Linked DNA regions of Rattus norvegicus. The protein of the gene in region 1 interacts with the protein of each later gene in a pairwise test. Links are inferred from orthologs where the notes say so. Each region holds a gene or a part of one and is shown on either strand. Other genes may lie near its edges.

The links.
Region 2: the proteins of Ube2e2 (region 1) and Rnf103 interact in a two-hybrid assay, tested with the Homo sapiens proteins (2 studies listed by BioGRID). The link is inferred for Rattus norvegicus from reciprocal best matches to the Homo sapiens genes UBE2E2 and RNF103.

Annotation. Positions count from the first base shown.
Region 1 is NC_086033.1:9,409,968-9,414,546, forward strand, and holds the start of Ube2e2 (ubiquitin-conjugating enzyme E2 E2), read left to right. Parts: upstream 1-1,652; 5' UTR 1,653-1,762; intron 1,763-4,579.
Region 2 is NC_086022.1:105,098,025-105,101,575, forward strand, and holds the end of Rnf103 (E3 ubiquitin-protein ligase RNF103), read left to right. Parts: intron 1-789; coding exon of another isoform or gene 790-804; coding exon 805-2,374; 3' UTR 2,375-2,812; downstream 2,813-3,551. UniProt on the Homo sapiens protein: Acts as an E2-dependent E3 ubiquitin-protein ligase, probably involved in the ER-associated protein degradation pathway.

The DNA.
Region 1 (4,579 bases):
AAAACAAAACAATTTTTAAAGAGTTTCAAAACACAACCAAGTCTTCCCTATGTCTGTACTCTTGAAACGATCAGGATATTTGCAAACCGAGAACGTGCAAAGATTCCATGAGGGAAGATAATTTATATAGACACTTAAGACTGTCTGTGAAATACTGTATTTGATAATATTTAAACATGATGCATTTCTACTAACACACTGTACTAGTACATGTATTAGTATTCTCCTAATACACCATGAGACAGCTGTACGTGGCCACACAAACCAGAAAACCAGGTTTCACCATTTCCAACCCTCCCTCCCAAACATTCTTGAGCTGACATTCCTAAGGACAAAGGTGCTGTTATTTTTCCTCAGTGGTGAGTTCCAGGCTAGACACCATTAGCTGCTTGGGGCAGTTTTCAGTGACTTAATTAGTTAAAAGCCAACTCTTGAAGAATGCATCTCGTGGAAGCATTTTCTGTTCCAGAAGCCGGTTCTGGGTCTTGTATTGCTCTAGTCTCTGGCGTCTTTTTTCACTAGTTCTTGATTGACTCAGGGCTTCACATTCTCATGGTGGCCTATGGCCACCTGTTAGGTGTTAGGCTGTTAGGCTGGGTTCCCCATGGTTTCCTATGTATTGGCTATCACTGTTCAAGTGTCTTGGAGCGTAATGGGTCTTCCCCTCTCATCCGTGAGAATGGAGGTCCCAGCCCTTTCTGTTGGGCAGAACTACTGCATGGGCTCAACCGCTCCCAAGAATCCTCACAGAAGTTAAGAGTAGTCTTAGATCTTAGCTGTTATGATAGGCTGGAGGGCCGTGTGTGTGTGTGTGTGTGTGTGTGTGTGTGTGTGTGTGTGTGTGTGTGTGGGTGGTGGTGGTGGTGGTGGTGGTGATGAGGTGAGTTCATGGGTGCTGAGTTAACCCAGAATGTGCAATTTTTTCTTCAGTGCCTATTTTGGGCTACAATGACTGGGAAACCTGATATTCCTCAGGCCACTCACAGCACAGCTACTGTCCCACGCGGGTCTTTCAGTGGCAGCCTCCCACTCACTCTGATAGTGCTGCACCCTTCGCCCCGCCCCGCCCCGCCCTCCGCAGCCTCCCAGGGTGGCAGCCAGCATTCCTGGACAGAACTAGGCTCAGCAGGACCTTTCCTGCAGCAGTTATGGGGTAAAGCGAGGCTTCATCCGGGCCCACGCGAAGTTTCCCAACCGCGGGGCAGGTGGGTCCTGCACGAGCACAAGCTGGTGGGTGCATGGTGTGTGTGGGTCGGGGGGGAGGGGGTCTCCCTACCCTTCATCCAACTCCGCCGCACTGCACCCTCCTGAAACGCACCCCCACCCCTTAGCCCGCGTGTCCCTTTAATGCGTGTCCCTTTACTGCGCGCGCTCGTCAAGGTCCTCGCGTCCCTCCCTTCGCGCCGCCGTCGAGCCTCGATTTCCCTCCTCCATTTCCCTTCGCCCTAACCCGCCTTTACCGGGCCCAGGACTCAGCTGTCACTTTACTTTTGCGCGCGCACCTTACTGGTCCCCCCCGCGCGCGGGCACGCGCCGGCGGGGGCGGGGCCAAAGCGCGTCGCGGGCTCGCGGGCGCGGCACCGCGAGGCCGACGTGGGGCTCGCGCTGTCGCGGGCTCTCGGGGCAGGCAGGGCGAGTGCGCGCTTGGGAGGGGGCGCGCGCGGACGGCGGGCGGCGGCGGCAGCGGCGGCTCGCGGAGGCGGCGGCTTCACTCCCGGACTCGGCGTCCGAGCCGCGGCTGGAGCGCGGGCGGCGCCGCGAGGTGAGTAGGCGCGGGCGGGCGGGCGTGGCCGCGGCCGGAGCCCCGGCGTAGGGCGCGCGGGGACCCCACGCGGCGAGGGGCAGACCGGCGAGATCCCCGCCCCCGCCGCGGCCTCGGCTCGGGCGCGCGCCCGCGGCCCCGCAGGCCTCCCTGGCCCTGCGCGTGCCCGCTGGGGCCCGCGCGCCCCTCCCCCCTCCCGCAGAGTGTGGCCCTCCTTCGCCTTCGAGGACCTGTCCTCTCCCCTCCCGCGCCCACCGCAGCCAGGAACTAAGTCTCCGCAAAGTCCAGGATGGATGTCGCGGTGCAAAGTGCCCGGCTGTCCCGAGCTCTTCCCTAATTGCATAATTGCTACACGAGGTGTCCAAGCGGGCGAGGGCCCGCCCGGGAATACCGGCTGAGTGTGTGCGTGATGCCCCGGGGTGGGGGGCGTCACACTGGTCTTTTGTAATGCCTGGTGCTTGGCACAGTTTGGCTCCGAAGCCGGTTTTCCTCTGGCTTCTCTGCAGCCCCCACTGGCCTGATTGGAAACTGGATTCCCTCTGTCCCCCCACCCCCACCCACCCCCTTCTTTGCTCCTAATGTTTTGATCCATTTGCCTTTTTCCAATTCTAATGAACATAAAGCCTGGCTTCTTGCGTCTTTTCCCACGACTAACCAGAAATGCCCCATCCATCTTCCCTAAAGGAAATTAAGGCCGCATTAGAGAGACATCATCACCCTGGGCTTGGTGGCAGCTCTTGGACCCATTTGCTGGTTTGCAAGACTCTTATCGTCCAACCCTGCATTGTGTCATTTTGAGGGTCTACTCGAGTATTTCCATTTTAAAGTACAAAAGAATTTGCTAGGACTTGCCTCTGATTGCCTTACTGTTCAGAAAGATTTTTAAGAGCTCGTCTTAGTTTTAAATCCTTGCATTTTGAAAAACACGCTCTAGAGATGCGATAACCAAGTCCGAGTCTTGGGAATCTAAATATTTGTCTTTACTCAGGCAGTCAGGATGCTCCTGGGCGCTTTGCAGTTTCGTTTGTGTGCGATGAAGATGGAGTGTTTTCATATGCCGTACCTTGAGCTCTTTCCCCTAGGGCACAGCACTTCCCCCAGTCAGGTGCTCCACTTTTATTTTTCGAATAAATATCTTTTCAGTCACTTGGAAAGCTGGGTAGCGCTACATGATCGGCACATAACATACAACATTTCACGTTTTGGAAAAGTTCAGAAATCCCAAGTAGAGAAACCGGGACGTCAACGACAAGTTCACATTTTCCTGTCGGAGCAGCACAAATGAATTCTTGCTTTCCTGAGCTTTTGAAAATCTTGATATTTGGTGATTTGGATAGTAATGTGGACTGCAGTACTGTTGCTTTCCTCGCTGGGATTTGCAGCCAGATCCTTTAGTTTTTCTGAAACAGGCTACTTTCACTCTCTATGTGCTGGCAGGGAATTTCCAGAACCCCATGACATCACAGAGCGTATAGTCAACAAAGCTTAGAAAATGAGTGTTTCAATTCTTAAATGTAATGCATTTATGTTTAGTTAGGGACTACGGTTTGCTCTGAATCTGAAGTAAAAATACCACTTGAGGTGCCTTAAGTTCTTTGAAACTGTCGTTGGAGGATGCATTTGTGTTTAGTGAGATCCCTGGAACCTAGCTTCCTTCTAGATTAGGGAATTAGCTCTTTAGGAATTAATTTTAAAATGCTAGTAAAGATAATATGTGGAAGTTTTAATGCAGGAGCCTACTCATTTATACTTTAGAGAGACGAGACACCAATTTGACACAGAGTTAATTTGAATTATCTATAGAGGGTCTCCTCTCATATGAATTAATTGTCCCAGAGTACACGATCACGTTGTCCCCTTTTTTTCTGTAATCCAGCAGAGAGTCTCTTAACTTTTGACATTTGAAAATGGGATACAGAGCCTTTGTTTCTGAATGGTTTTTGTAGTGCTTATCAGTGGCCTCAGGAGGATCTGTCATTAGTAGGTAAAACTTTGGGTCAGATAAGGTATCTTAGATGAAAAGTAGAAACGACTTTTTTAAGCTGTAAAACTATAGAAGCGATGCTTCTGTTTAGCCATTTCAGAAGATTCTGGGGAAGTGTTCTGTATGGAACCCAGGCCTTAACATACATGCTTGGCAGGCGCTCTGGAACTGAGCCCCATCCCCCAGACCTTCAGTAGTAGTTTTAGTCCTTTACTCTTCTGGTCTTCTGCTGTAGTCATGGATGTTTCAGTTTCAGGTTGTAGCCCACTACATCACAGAGTGGCCTATTCAGTAACTGTAGAGTTTACACATTATCAGGTGTGCACATAAAGAGTATCGAAACGAGTGCGCACTTCACGACTGACTCAGCACACAGCAGTCATAGCCGTGGCCGCAGTGTAAGGGAGCCACTTTCCTGCAGTTCTGGTGTCTGCCGTGTGATGGATTGCCTCAGGTTTCAGATACATAGAACAGTTTCTCACTGATTTCACATCTCTTAAGAGTGCCCACGGTGTCCTGCCCCTGAGAGCATCTAATCCTAAGAATGCTTCTTTCTGTTTCCCTATACACCTGCTTATCCAGCAAGCTATAGGGTACCTACTTACAAGGCTTTTAACTTTAGGTATATTTTAGCTCAAAGAAGCAAGCTGAGAAAGAGTACAAATATTAAACCCAAGTAATGAGAAGGTTAAAGTCAAATAAGAAACCCTAAGAAATATGCTCAGACTTTTTGAGCTAGACGGGAAACATAACTGACATAAAATTTCAGTGTTCTATTAAGTGACTTTATTGCTCATAAAAGGTGTCTTAGCCATGGAGAATGATGCCCTCCA
Region 2 (3,551 bases), on another chromosome or scaffold:
TGATTGTAATTATGCTCATCATCACTCCACTGGTAAATGGATTGGCCTGAAACTTTGTATACTTTCTGTCTGTGTTTCCTAAGTGTTAAGGCCTTTTTTACGGTATTCATTACAGAGAAAAGAAAGTTAACTGTAACTTGAAGTAGCTGCCTTTTGGATTGGCTTATTTATGTAAAGATTACTGTTTAGTAGTTAGTGCCTATTGCCTTGTGCTAGGCCTTGTGGGAGTAGCTAGTTGAGAAGTGGTAAGGTAGGTGCCTATTGAGGACTCTGAACTACCTCAGGGACTCAGCATGTAGGAGCATTCATCTTCCTCTGTTTCTCCCTAATTTCTAACCATCTTTTAAGGCCTAATTCTTTTCCAACCCTTTCTTGAGCTATTTACCTGCTCAAATTCCTAGTAATATCTCTTCTTTGATCTTACTTTGTTACTGGTTTCTCATCCATAACAGCAGTTTTTAATTCTGTATGAGCAGAAATCACTTGCCATTATCTTTGGATCTTAGTATGTAACACAGTTGCACATAGGCGGTGCTAAAGTATTTTCTGACTCTTTGGCTTAGAAATGCTTTAGGTATGCCTTATACAAAATTTTTTTCTTAAACACAGAAATTCAAAGCAGACTATAGTAAGCTTGCTTATTCTGGCACACTTGCCAGAAGTTTTGGCTTCTCTTTGGTTATTGGAGATTATCTGGTCTCAAAGAAGAGGGTCTTAAAAGGGTACCTTTCAGGCCCTAAAGAAAATTGTTAGCATGTAAGTTGTTCAACAGCCTCACTGTTCATTCAGTTTACTCTCTTACAGGTACTGCAGAAGGAGAGGCTGGGTACGTTCCACTCTCATCATGTCTGTCCCACAAACAAGCACATCTAAAGGGAAAGTCATGCTTAAAGAGTACAGTGGGCGCAAGATTGAAGTAGAACACATTTTTAAATGGATAACTGCCCATGCAGCTTCTCGGATCAAAACTATATATAATGTTGAGCATTTGAAAGAAGAATGGAATAAAAGTGATCAGTACTGGGTAAAAATATACCTGTTTGCAAACCTTGACCAACCACCAGCTTTCTTCTCTGCATTAAGTATAAAATTTACTGGAAGAGTTGAGTTTATTTTTGTTAATGTGGAAAATTGGAACAACAAGAGTTATATGACAGATATTGGTATTTATAACATGCCGTCATACATACTTAGAACTCCTGAAGGAATTTACAGATATGGAAATCACACAGGTGAATTTATATCCCTTCAGGCCATGGATTCATTTTTACGCTCATTACAACCTGAAGTAAATGATCTGTTTGTTTTGAGTTTGGTTCTAGTTAATCTTATGGCTTGGATGGACTTATTTATTACACAAGGAGCAACCATCAAGCGATTTGTGGTTCTCATAAGCACTTTAGGGACATACAATTCCCTATTAATTATTTCTTGGCTACCTGTGTTGGGCTTTCTACAGCTCCCTTACTTAGATAGCTTTTATGAATATAGTTTAAGATTGCTGCGATACTCTAATACAACCACACTGGCTTCGTGGGTAAGGGCAGACTGGATGTTTTACTCTTCACACCCAGCCCTGTTTCTCAGTACATACCTTGGACATGGTTTGCTAATTGATTACTTTGAGAAGAAGAGACGGCGCAGCAACAATGATGAAGTTAATGCGAATAATTTAGAGTGGTTATCAAGTCTGTGGGACTGGTACACCAGCTACCTCTTCCACCCGATTGCTTCTTTTCAGAACTTTCCTGTAGACTCTGATTGGGATGAAGACCCTGACTTATTCTTGGAGCGGTTAGCTTTCCCTGACCTTTGGCTTCACCCTCTGATACCAACTGATTATATTAAAAACTTACCAATGTGGCGGTTTAAATGTCTTGGGGCTCAGTCTGAAGAAGAAATGTCGGAGAGTTCTCAAGACACTGAAAATGACTCAGATAGTGACAACACGGACACTTTTAGTAGTAGTAAGGATGTATTTGAAGATAAACAAAATGTTCACAGTTCTCCAGGAAGAACAAGTCGCTGCGATACTGAGGCTTGTTCATGTGCCAATAAATGTTGTCAGACCAGCCCATGTGAAAGGAAGAGGAGGTCATATGGCTCACATAATACTAAGGAAGATATGGAGCCGGACTGGCTAACTTGGCCTGCTGGTACGCTGCACTGTACTGAATGTGTTGTTTGCCTTGAGAATTTTGAGAATGGATGTTTGCTGATGGGGTTGCCTTGTGGTCATGTGTTTCACCAGAATTGCATTGTTATGTGGTTGGCTGGGGGCCGACACTGTTGCCCTGTTTGCCGTTGGCCTTCATATAAGAAAAAGCAGCCATATGCACAGCAACAGCCGTTGTCAAATGATGCTCCATCTTGACCATGTGCAGTTGTCCAATAAGCTTTGAGTATCTTACAGCTTGCCTTTTTAATGTTAGTCACAATGTTTTTGTGGTTTGAAGTTTAGTTTAATGTTAGTGCAGTGACAGGAAATACACATTATGCTGATGTTGATGACAGAATTTATTTGGATGCCTTGTGTGTCAATTGAATGCATACTAAACTGTAAAAAAATTATTTACAGCATTGAAAATTCAGAAGTTAATGGGTTTTTTGTAAGCACAAAAGAGGTATGGTAGAAATTTATCTTAGCAAGACTTTATGAGGCAGGATCAAATCCTAGTGGGCCTGAGCTGATTTCTTACCCTAAATGTTTTTTCCCTTTTTACAATCTCTGTCCAGCACCTCTTGGTTAAATAATGTATGCTCTGAGACATGAAATTAAAACAGATCTATAAAATAAATTATTTTAAAAGCAGAAGGTTGTAGGTTTTCTGATCTTAAGCTGTGATAAGGTAACTGGTTTTTGTAGGTGTTTTGCTGGATTGCTAGTTTCACGGGTCATTGCACCATGATGTTGAGGTGGAGGGAAGGATAGGAATCCTAGTGCTGACACTGGCTCTGAGTAGTGGTAGTTGACCTCGCAGCCTGATAGCTTGGATAGGAAAGGATTTTATAGGGGCTTTGAAAAATTAGTATTTAGCATATTCATCTAAGTAAAAGCAACTATAATTTATTGTCATACAAGGACTACCTTGTATGTTTAACTGACTTTTTTATTTTGAAAATTTTCAGTGCTACAGGAAAGCTGAGAATATAGCTAGTAGAGTAAATATCTATTTCTCTTTCGTGCACCATATTTGTATTTTATTACATTTACTTTAGCACCTTTTTATTACAATTTTAATATTTCTTCTTTTTCCCTCTCAGTCTATTGAAAGTAAACTTGAAACATGATGCTTTACCCATAAACAGTCACTACACCACATTTTCTATGAATGAGAGCTTTCTCTTACATAGTCAACACCTAATCATACCCTTGAAATTTAATATTGATTCAGTAATACCTAATACATGCTCCTTGTTTCCTAAATGTCTTTATATCTTTGTCTGTCTGTGTTTCATTCTTACTGCGAATATAGAGAAGACTCATCTGTTGGATTCAGTCTCCTTTTCTTCCATCCTGTCCTCTAGAGAAACTGCTCTGTGTGTGTGTG